Arabidopsis thaliana: one gene and its partner. The protein of the gene in region 1 interacts with the protein of each later gene in a pairwise test. Each region holds a gene or a part of one and is shown in the gene's direction. Other genes may lie near its edges.

Region 1 (6,535 bases):
TTAAGTCAACACTTTAATTCTGTTCCTTTGCATATAGCCGTTCCTTTGCATATAGCCATATAGATTCTCATATTTCTGTGTGGATATGTCTAATGCCTCGGATGACCATTACGTGAAAACATTGTATATCAATGTTATCAAGTTATCAGACCGCACAAAAATAAACATAAAGAAGGTCATATGATAAATAAGATTCACATAAAACGTAATAATAAGAAAATATCCAACTAAAATTACTAAATTAATATGAGGTTAGATAGCAAACATCTAAACTACAACACACGTAAATGTTAGCCATTATGGATTAATAACTATTGATAAATTTTTTTTAAAAAATAAGTAAAATAGAATGAAAGTAGTACTTGATACATTATTATGATTTTTTATTTATTGAATGTTTTTAGAAAATTCACTTTAAGAGTGAGATTAATAGAAAATGTAACACAACAAAAAACTTTTAATTTTTCCTCAATTAATTTTACTAATTTGTTTATTTAATTAATGTAGAATGACACATGTCATTTTCTTGTATGATCACTCATATGAAGAGAGTTGACCAACTTTCATATATATGATTCATCACTCTTACAATTTCAACTAAATATTTAGGGCATTTTCATCCACGAGAAATCCATAAAGTTTCTCAAACAAAAAAATATTAATATTATATTATAATTTGATTATTTGATTAAAAAAATATTTTTGTTAAAAAATTAAACCAATAGTAAAAAGAAAATTGTCATGATGGATCGTAAAAAGTATCTCAAAGTTTCTGAAGCGAGAAACTTTCTACAATCTCTCTTTTACTTTTATTATTTTTATTTTTTTAACTATGAAAAATTCTTATGAGATACTACCAATGGAGATAGTTTTAGAGGTTCTTCTATAACCATCCGCTATGGTGTAAAATAAAAACTCATCCACAAACGTAAAACAACTACTCATCCATCCGCAATGATTTTCTTTTTTTTGAAACACTATATAAATTTTAAAAATAAAACGATGAGACTACTTATAAGGTATTTTTGCATATAAAAGTATAAAGTTCAATTTTGTGTGTCGGTGGTTTCCTGATACTCTTGTACTCTTACATTTTCAGTAGCTTTCCCACGTGACCAATTATTTTACTCCCTTTCTTAGTCCAATTATGGTTTTCTAGCACCTCTTTTTATTTGAACTTTTATATGAACTATTAATAGTTCACTTTATAGTTTTTCTTAACATTCACAGGCCCACAAATTTTACAAGAATCAGACATTATTTGCTTTAAATTTGATAAATTTTGCAGTCCTAGTCCTGGTAAATTCAGTATTTCTGTCATATTCAATACCATCAATTTCTAGTGCCATTTTTATGATTGCAAAATCCAACAAAAACAAACAAAACCATGTTGTGGTCTAATGTTTGTTGCCCCAAAACAGAAAGAGGATTCACACAGTCGACATTTGCATAAGACGCAGGAAGTATAACTGGCTTATTAAGAAGATTTAAGGGACGCATTTAGAGATATGGTTATTGCATGAACCATGATGTAGCCATTTAAAAGTTTATGGTTAACTTAACTATTTGCAACGATCGATATTTTATCAAACGATGCTACTGTATAAGTTTCTCATCATATGTCCTAATTCCTCCTTATTATCTACACCAGTTAGACCTGTCCTCCAATTTTACGCTTTGTACATACAGCATTCGGCGAAAGCACATGAACCGACCATTTACACATCCTGAGACAGTGTCGGTCAAAATAAAGTAAAGAACTCAGCACAATACACCCACTACCACTTCCTCCTCCTCAAACATTAACACACCATTATTTTATGTTTTCTTTATTACAGACGTCGTCAAACCGCCGTAATAACTTTTTAATAAAATAAAAATCCACTCGCATTTTTATTTTCAACATTGTGCGTACGGTGCAATTCAATGAACAGTGTTTACTTTCAGTGTGTACACTTCTGCGGACTATTACAAAGTCCACGTCTTATCCTACGTGTTATAATCTCATATGTTACTGTCTGAAATGGACCCCACTACGTAAAAATAAAATTAAGAATCAACCACTCTTCTTCCATCACCTCTTTTGGCTTTCTCTCTACTCTCTCTACTACTCTCTCACCATCACTGAGTTAAGAGAACAAACCAAAAACAAAATTATCAAACCATCACCAGCAGAATCTTAGCTGGATTCATCACTCTATTCAAAAAGTTTCTCTCTTCTCTTTTCTCAGATCTTGAACTCTTGAAGAAGAAAGAAGAAGATAACACAATGCTCTTCTTCTTATTCTTCTTCTACTTACTCTTATCTTCATCCTCCGATCTAGTCTTCGCCGACCGTCGTGTACTCCACGAACCATTCTTCCCTATAGATTCACCACCACCGTCACCACCATCACCACCACCACTTCCTAAACTACCATTCTCTTCAACCACTCCTCCATCTTCATCAGACCCAAATGCTTCTCCTTTCTTCCCTTTATACCCTTCATCTCCACCACCACCTTCTCCAGCCTCCTTCGCTTCTTTTCCGGCGAATATCTCATCTCTAATCGTCCCTCACGCCACTAAATCCCCACCTAACTCCAAAAAACTCCTTATCGTCGCTATCTCCGCCGTTTCCTCCGCTGCTTTAGTCGCTCTACTTATCGCTTTACTCTATTGGCGAAGAAGCAAACGTAACCAAGATCTTAACTTCTCCGATGATAGCAAAACATACACCACCGACAGTAGCCGCCGTGTCTACCCTCCTCCTCCGGCAACGGCGCCTCCAACACGACGCAATGCGGAGGCTAGAAGTAAACAGAGGACCACCACGAGCTCCACCAATAACAACAGCTCTGAGTTTCTTTACTTAGGAACAATGGTGAATCAAAGAGGAATCGATGAACAATCTCTTAGTAATAATGGATCAAGCTCAAGAAAACTTGAATCTCCAGATCTTCAACCACTTCCTCCATTGATGAAACGAAGTTTCCGTTTAAATCCAGATGTTGGTTCAATCGGAGAAGAAGATGAAGAAGATGAGTTTTACTCTCCACGTGGCTCACAAAGCGGGCGAGAACCGTTAAACCGGGTCGGACTTCCGGGTCAAAATCCTAGATCTGTTAACAATGACACTATCTCTTGCTCATCTTCAAGCTCTGGTTCACCAGGAAGATCAACATTTATCAGTATCTCTCCTTCAATGAGTCCTAAGAGATCTGAACCAAAACCGCCGGTTATCTCCACACCAGAACCGGCGGAGTTAACCGATTATAGATTTGTTCGGTCTCCGTCACTGTCGTTAGCTTCTTTATCGTCGGGATTGAAAAACTCCGATGAAGTAGGATTGAATCAAATCTTTAGATCTCCGACGGTTACATCTCTAACAACTTCACCGGAGAATAACAAAAAAGAGAACTCTCCATTATCATCTACTTCAACTTCACCGGAACGACGACCAAATGATACACCAGAAGCTTACTTGAGATCTCCGTCGCATTCTTCTGCTTCTACATCACCGTATAGATGTTTTCAGAAATCTCCGGAGGTCTTACCGGCGTTTATGAGTAATCTCCGGCAAGGTTTGCAATCTCAGTTACTATCTTCTCCTTCTAACTCTCATGGAGGACAAGGTTTCCTTAAGCAGTTAGATGCATTACGTTCTCGTTCACCGTCGTCGTCTTCTTCTTCTGTTTGTTCTTCACCGGAGAAAGCTTCTCATAAGTCACCAGTTACATCTCCTAAGTTATCTTCCCGGAATTCGCAGTCTCTATCATCTTCTCCGGATAGAGATTTTAGTCATAGCTTAGATGTATCACCACGGATATCGAACATTTCACCTCAAATTTTACAGTCTCGTGTGCCTCCGCCTCCTCCTCCTCCCCCACCGTTGCCGTTGTGGGGACGACGGAGTCAGGTGACTACTAAAGCGGACACAATCTCGAGACCGCCTTCTCTTACACCGCCTTCACATCCTTTTGTGATCCCATCTGAAAACTTACCAGTGACTTCGTCTCCTATGGAGACTCCAGAGACGGTTTGTGCGAGTGAGGCGGCGGAGGAAACTCCGAAACCGAAGCTAAAGGCGTTACATTGGGATAAAGTTAGAGCAAGTTCGGATCGTGAGATGGTTTGGGATCATCTTCGATCAAGCTCTTTCAAGTGAGTTAATGTGACATACTCGTTTATATGATACTATATGCTTTTAGTGAGAATGTGGTTGTTGAGATTATGAATGTGGTTTGCAGATTAGATGAGGAGATGATTGAGACGTTGTTTGTGGCGAAGTCGTTAAACAACAAACCAAATCAGAGTCAGACAACTCCAAGATGTGTTCTCCCGAGCCCGAACCAAGAGAACAGAGTCCTGGACCCGAAGAAGGCTCAGAATATTGCCATCTTGCTTCGTGCACTTAATGTCACTATAGAAGAAGTTTGTGAGGCTCTTCTTGAAGGTAAACTATGCTGTCACATACATAGTTTCTCATTTTCTTCTCCTTTGATCTCCAGAATTAGAGTTCTTATGCATTTGTTAATGGTTTTTCGATGATATGGTTGAGTTATTCTGAAAGCTTTGCTTCTTTGATGGTGTGGAGATTCTTGGTTACATTGATGTTCTTAGTTATGCTTTTTCAGGCAATGCTGATACACTGGGGACTGAACTTCTTGAGAGCTTACTGAAGATGGCACCGACAAAAGAAGAAGAGCGCAAGTTGAAAGCGTACAATGATGATTCGCCTGTTAAGCTTGGACATGCTGAGAAATTCCTTAAGGCAATGTTGGACATCCCTTTCGCCTTTAAAAGAGTTGATGCAATGCTCTATGTAGCCAACTTTGAGTCCGAGGTTGAATACTTGAAGAAATCTTTTGAGACTCTTGAGGTATATATTACAAGCTATTCTCTCTCTTTTTACCATATGGTTGTATTGTAACAGATTATGACTTCATTTCTATTGTTTGTGTAGGCTGCTTGTGAAGAACTGAGGAACAGTAGGATGTTCTTAAAGCTTCTTGAAGCGGTTCTAAAGACAGGAAACCGTATGAACGTTGGAACAAACCGAGGAGATGCACATGCGTTCAAGCTTGATACACTTCTCAAGCTAGTCGATGTCAAAGGCGCTGATGGGAAAACAACTCTCTTGCATTTCGTTGTACAAGAGATAATCCGAGCAGAAGGCACACGTCTCTCAGGTAACAATACACAAACAGATGACATTAAATGCCGGAAACTAGGTCTCCAAGTTGTATCAAGTCTCTGTTCTGAGCTTAGTAACGTCAAGAAAGCTGCTGCGATGGACTCAGAAGTACTAAGCAGCTACGTCTCCAAGCTTTCTCAAGGCATTGCCAAGATCAACGAAGCAATCCAAGTCCAATCAACAATCACAGAAGAAAGCAACAGTCAGAGGTTTTCGGAATCGATGAAAACGTTTCTGAAAAGAGCTGAGGAAGAGATCATCAGAGTACAAGCTCAAGAGAGCGTAGCGTTATCACTTGTAAAAGAAATCACAGAGTATTTCCATGGAAACTCGGCTAAAGAAGAAGCGCATCCGTTTAGAATATTCTTGGTGGTTAGAGACTTCCTTGGAGTAGTAGACAGAGTTTGCAAAGAAGTAGGGATGATAAACGAAAGAACAATGGTTAGTTCTGCTCATAAGTTTCCTGTTCCAGTGAATCCAATGATGCCACAACCTCTTCCTGGACTCGTTGGACGAAGACAATCTTCTTCTTCTTCGTCGTCGTCTTCAACCTCTTCGTCTGATGAAGACGAACATAACTCAATCTCATTAGTTTCTTAAGGTGAGATCTCAGCTTTGTCTGTGCATGTTGTTGTAAAAAGTATCCAGTATTGGATTGTTTTGTCATAATAGATTTAAATATATATATATAGAGGGAGGGAATTAATGACAGAAACAAAGAAGTGTTTTTCTTTTCTGCATTTGTGTAAAAAAAATAATATAGGTTTACCTTAAAATTTGTTCATCTTAAATTAATAATTTAAGAATCAAATAAATTTGTTTATCTGAACCGTGTGTACCACGAAAGAATGTGAGAGCAAACATATTACTTACTTACCCTTCGTTGCTGAATATAATGATCATTATAAATCACTACCTCCAGTACCTTCTACCTTCTTCAAAGAACCTTGTTGGATTTGAACCAAAGTTGGAACATAATTGACGAGAGGTGAGCATCTAGATTCTGCATCGTGATGATGATCCACTTTTATCTATTTATTTTCTCTCAAAATGTTTAAGAAAGTGTTGGAGACCTCATTTTACCAGGTAACACTAAAACTTTATTCTCGGGGTCTGACGAAGAATAACAAGTTTACTAACGCTCAAAAATTACATTGCAAAAAGAATATTAAATACAAGAATTACAACAAGAACAAGGGTATTCAAATTACAAATTCTATAGCAAAAAAAAATAAATCTTAAAAAATGTAATAACTGATAACAAACAATTTTACAAGTTCACTAACGCTCGAAATACATTGCAAAAAGAATATTAAACAAGAATTGAGTTAAAATTGTAGAAATTGTTGTGAAAAAATC
Region 2 (5,317 bases), on another chromosome or scaffold:
TTCGCATGACTCTTGTGAATTCAAAGCTAAACAGAGAGGAAAAAACGGAGAGGTTTTTGATTTTGAGAGTTAAACCCTTAGACCATTTCCATGATAAATTCCAAACAAACATAAATCAAAAATATTAAAATAATAATTTTTTAATCAGTTTTTTTTAGAATATTTTCTGAAATGAGAAACTTGGAGAAATTTTATCTCTCTTCCAAATGTCATCTTGTCATTAATTTCTTTTCTTTGTTATAAATAAAATCATTTATATTTTATAACATCAATTAAATACTTTATATGTTTATTTTTTTTTTTTTTTTTACTTTTAAAATTCATAAAATTAAATTATCTATATAACAAGCTCTATTATATATATGTTTAAATTATATACGAATATTATTTAATTGGTGTTAGTTAAGCATTAAACATAATAATAACTTATAAATACAATAGTTTTTTTTTAATTAGAAAACAAACATTTAAAATTTTCTATTTTTATTTTACAACATTTTTGGCAATCGAATTCGACTTCGTGATAGAGATATGCACCAACAACTAAAAGATGACCTAGTTGAGCATATATGACAAAAGTTTGGTGCATTATCAAATGAAGAGTAAAACCATAATAGATAATATAGTTAGTTTTGATTTATGTTATCATGGTTTTATATGTAATTTCTGTGTAATTTATATATTTTTTCTATTTAATTTATGTTATCATGGTTTTATATGGAATTTTATGTTTAATTGATATATTTTTTATTATGATTTTATATGTAAAGTAATGTTTAATTATGTTTAATTATGTTTAATTATGGTTTTAAAAATAATAAAACTATTTAATAATATAATTGTAAAAATAATAATTGATATGTTTGAAAATATTGTAGAGATTTTAAATTTAATATAAAAAACATATAATAATATGTTAATGTTAATGAGATACTCATAAGAGTATTTCACCAATGGAAGCACAATTTTAGTATAAGTTTCTCTACTTAAATTAAAATATTAATAATATATTATGAGGTACTCATGGAGTATCTCACCAATGGAGATGCTCTTACGCATATGCTGACGAGAGACGAGAGAAGAGACGTTCGCTAAATCTTTTGCTTTCTCGCCACTACGTCCAGAGTCTCTCTCTGGTTCAGAAGACTCGAAATGGGTTAAACACGTATTCTCTCATTCTCCGTAGTTAATTAATTTAGTGAAACGGTAAAAACAAAATGGTAAAAAATTGGCGGTCGTTATTTTGTAGCGGTAAAGAAAATAGTGAGTTAGACTATTTACAAGTTAACTGTTTGAATTAAAAGTTGAAAGTGATTTGGAAAAAGATGTTGTAGAATTTCTTCAACACCGTTAATTTTGTGAATAAAATCCTTGTACACATATAGTCTTAGAAAATTTGGAAAAAGGTTTGATAAATGTAACTTAGATGCTGCTTGGATTATAAAAAGTAAGCTTTATGGATACGGACTTGAGTTCCCAAGATCATTTAGGTTCAATCTGATTTTGAGGTTTATATAAGAAGCTTCATTTAAACCGTTGAGTGTTTGAGCTATATGAAACTTCAAAAAAATGTCATTCGTTTAAATACCATCAAGAAGAATGTGAATCAACTTTTCTTTTTGGATGAAAACTAGTTTTTTGATATGGTAACTATGTTTTCAACACAACAAAATTTTATCGTCGAATGTCCGAAATGATAAAGACACTCTTAACCTTCATCGGAAAAAATAGCAATTTTTTGTGGTATATCAATAGCGGTTACAATCTAACTTGTTTTGTTGTTGTTATTATGATTAGAACTGTCAATTGGGTGGACCGCATGTGGGTTTTTACAGTCCAAATACACACGGACGGATTATGGTCTGGACTCCAAACTAAAAAACATAAACCAAGCAATCAAAAAGTTAGAATAAGATATTTTTTAGTTAAAACAAAAATCGTAAGTGAAGAAGGTCTGAATTTCTTGAGGAAGATAAACGGGCACAAAACCGGTGTACATACATGGATTATGGATATGTTCTAGAGGAAAGGTATAATTGAATACTAGTATCCGTTACAGAAACTAATTGCATTAAGTTTCGTCTACTGTTTAAGACCGCACGAGATATATATGTTAGACCGACTTTGGGAAAGAGGCTACTTAAATTATTTACGATTAATAATGCCAACGTAACGCGGACAGACATTTTAATTCAATTATTATTTGTTGCCTGCGAGATTCGAACCATCTCTTATTTCATTACTTAACCCAAACCAAAAAAATAAAAAGTTCATTTCGAAAGAAGAAGAAGAAAACATCAAATCATGAGTGGGCAAGAGAATCATGATCATGGCCGGATCTCTTCTACGCCCGCCGCCGCGTCGGAGCCTTCCAAGGCTGCTGCTCACTCCTCTGACTACGCTCCTTACCCTAAGCTCGATCCTACCGACGTCACTCCTCCTCCTCCTCAGCCTATTCCCACCGGTGCCGCCGCAACCACCATGCCAGCGGAATCCAATCCTTACGTTTCTCCTTCCCCTGCCCCAAGGAGTGAGTTCTTCTTCTCTCTATCCGATTTCGCATCCTAATCCAATTTCTGCCTTTGATTGATTGATTGATCTTGGTTTGGGGACAGATACGATGGATTCGGTGAAGGATACGTTAGGGAAATGGGGGAAAATGGCTGCCGACGCCACCAAGAAGGCGGAGGATCTCGCCGGAAATTTTTGGCAGCACTGTAAGCGCTTCTTCTTCTTCTTCTTCTTCCCCCTCGATTAGATGAATTACCAATTAATCTGATTACCGTCTCTTGGAGAATACGATGGTATTGGTTATGCCCCTTCTGGTTAAGTTAGTGTTCATCAATTGGCGCTTCTTCGGAATTTTACTTCGCGTTCAACCACCGACACTAAATCTAGCCAACAATTTTGATATTCATGCTCTTCCGTTTGAGTTTAAGCCAATTAGTTCTTTGTATCTGGTTATTGCCTTTGACTCTTGAAGCTTCTCTAGTATAGGTTGTTTTGGCTTTATTTCTCCGCTTGTGTGATGAATTAGTATTATATACATATGGTTGGAGGGAGGGATGATATTTTATATGAATTGAGACTTGAGAGTATACGTTTTGATATCTATCCTTTCTTTTTCAGTGAAAACAGGCCCAAGTGTAGCAGATGCTGCTGTTTCACGAATTGCTCAGGGGACAAAAATACTTGCAGAGGGTGGATACGAGAAGGTCTTCAAGCAAACATTTGATTGCCTTCCTGATGAAAAACTTCTCAAGACCTATGCTTGCTACTTGTCTACATCTGCTGGTCCTGTCCTGGGAGTTATGTATCTTTCGACTCACAAGCTTGCGTTCTCTAGTGACAATCCTCTCTCTTACAAAGAGGGTGAGCAGACCCTGTGGAGCTATTACAAGGTATACTCGCTCTCTATCCTATGGTTACTTTTTCTTTCTAACTCTTTTATTTTATATCTATTTACATCTAAGAAAACTATTTGAGAACAAAGATTCAGCGAATGTAATATTTGATGGTGACATGATAAAGCGTTAAGTGAGTTAAGTCATTTTCAATGCATCTATTTACATAGATTCATAGACTATAACAAATTTTCTTGTCATTTCTAGTTATTGACGTATAGAACGTAGTGTGTGTACGCTTATAGTAAATGGAAACTACATAATCATTCTAACGATATTGTTGAGTAGTTGCATGTTAGTTCCTATGTAGACAATTAGGACTTTAGTGGTTTGCCTAAGAGAGTAAGCTAAATCTTGTAGCATTCTTGATAAAACTAGGGGAGCCATTGAATAATTGTTAGTTTGAGAGTTTGGACTGGTTCTAATGTAAACATCTAACATGAGCTGAAATCCTATTAAACCAAGCAGAAAGCTTCTTGACAACATGATCTTTGGAAAACTGATTTTAAGATTTGGGTGGTTCTTGAGAACCTTTTTTCGTTCCTTGAGAACCTTGCACTTGCAGTCTATTTTCTGTCATTCTTCCTTGTAAAGTCTGTGGCTGATGATTTTGATGTGATGATCAGGTGGTACTTCCGGCGAATCAGCTGAAGGCAGTGAACCCATCAACAAGTAGAGTGAACACATCTGATAAATACATACAAGTGATTTCCATCGACAACCACGAGTTCTGGTTTATGGGGTTTGTGACTTATGAAAGCGCTGTGAAGAGCCTTCAAGAAGCGGTGCAGTCACATGGTCCGTGAAGGTCCACTGGTATAAATGGCAGCTCTTAGTGATATTGTGCATTAATATATGGAACAGTGTGTTTTAGTATTTGATACCATTTCAATGTGTTCTACATTTTGTCCTCTTGGCGTTTACTCATAAACATTGCTTTTGTTCATTTCCTTTTGTATAAAATTATTTCTTATTTTTTTTGAGGGAACCTTGTCCTTTAGATCTAACATTCATGATTTGTATTCGTGTTCTAAGTTGGATTCGGTCTTTGGTTTTTGATGAGTTTAGGATTTTAAAGGTGATCAAGTTGGGCGCTATAGACAAAACCAGCATTTAGAAAGCCCAATATATCACCGATGGGCCTTTGAAAAGAGCCCAAATCGATAATAAGCATGCATGGGAGAATTGGTGACACGGGCTCATTACAACACTTTCATCATAGAAGATCCTATGTTTAATGTGTTTAAAACAAATCTGGTATGAGTTTTGGAAGATAGTAACATTGAGTATATATGTGGAAACAAATCTAAATGGTGGGGTTTGTGCAATCGCCTAAATTGTTTTTTACTTGCATTCGTTATATGCAAATATCTAAATGATTAAAACCAAAACCAAAAATATCTAATATGATATATTAAAATATTAAGCTTCATTGTATCATTCTTACGAAGTGACCAACTTTAGAAGTTAGCGAATTGTCTGTCATTAAGCCTATTGCTCCTTGTCGTCTTATTCTTTGCTCACCAACGAGCTACGTCCTTTGAATTTCTTATTAAAGTTGTTAGCATATAAACTATGACTAGTGCCCATCAAATTTGAAGATTTAGCATTTGGACTCTTCTTGTGTTAACTGAACATGGTCAGTCTTACAATATCTATATATTCAATGGTTATCGAGTGATTGTGTCATGAAATGTTAATATAGTTGGATCTTTTAAAAAAAAATGTAAATATAGTTGAACCATATACATCCGTTGAAAACAACAACAGCAAAAACTGATAGCTCTGAACCATCTTTGTAAGAGTGTGTTTGCGACTACGGGAGTCTTGATATCAAACCGAAACCACCCTATATATGAAAAAGCTTCATAAAACCGATTTCTCGATTACTTTAATAAGATGGCATATCGGGT

The links.
Region 2: the proteins of AFH1 (region 1) and FIP1 interact in a two-hybrid assay, tested with the Arabidopsis thaliana proteins (one study listed by BioGRID).

What each region holds. Positions count from the first base shown.
Region 1 is NC_003074.8:9,250,561-9,257,095, reverse strand, and holds AFH1 (formin homology 1), read left to right. Parts: upstream 1-2,012; 5' UTR 2,013-2,269; coding exon 2,270-4,143; intron 4,144-4,229; coding exon 4,230-4,435; intron 4,436-4,616; coding exon 4,617-4,861; intron 4,862-4,945; coding exon 4,946-5,776; 3' UTR 5,777-6,003; downstream 6,004-6,535. UniProt on the Arabidopsis thaliana protein: Might be involved in the organization and polarity of the actin cytoskeleton. Involved in polar pollen cell growth process by maintaining tip-focused cell membrane expansion for the polar extension of pollen tubes.
Region 2 is NC_003070.9:9,849,288-9,854,604, reverse strand, and holds FIP1 (FH interacting protein 1), read left to right. Parts: upstream 1-2,155; 5' UTR 2,156-2,304; coding exon 2,305-2,530; intron 2,531-2,615; coding exon 2,616-2,717; intron 2,718-3,129; coding exon 3,130-3,401; intron 3,402-4,030; coding exon 4,031-4,210; 3' UTR 4,211-4,220; exon of another isoform or gene 4,221-4,472; 3' UTR 4,473-4,761; downstream 4,762-5,317. Other genes in the region: ATJ1 (DNAJ heat shock family protein), read right to left, coding at 1-7.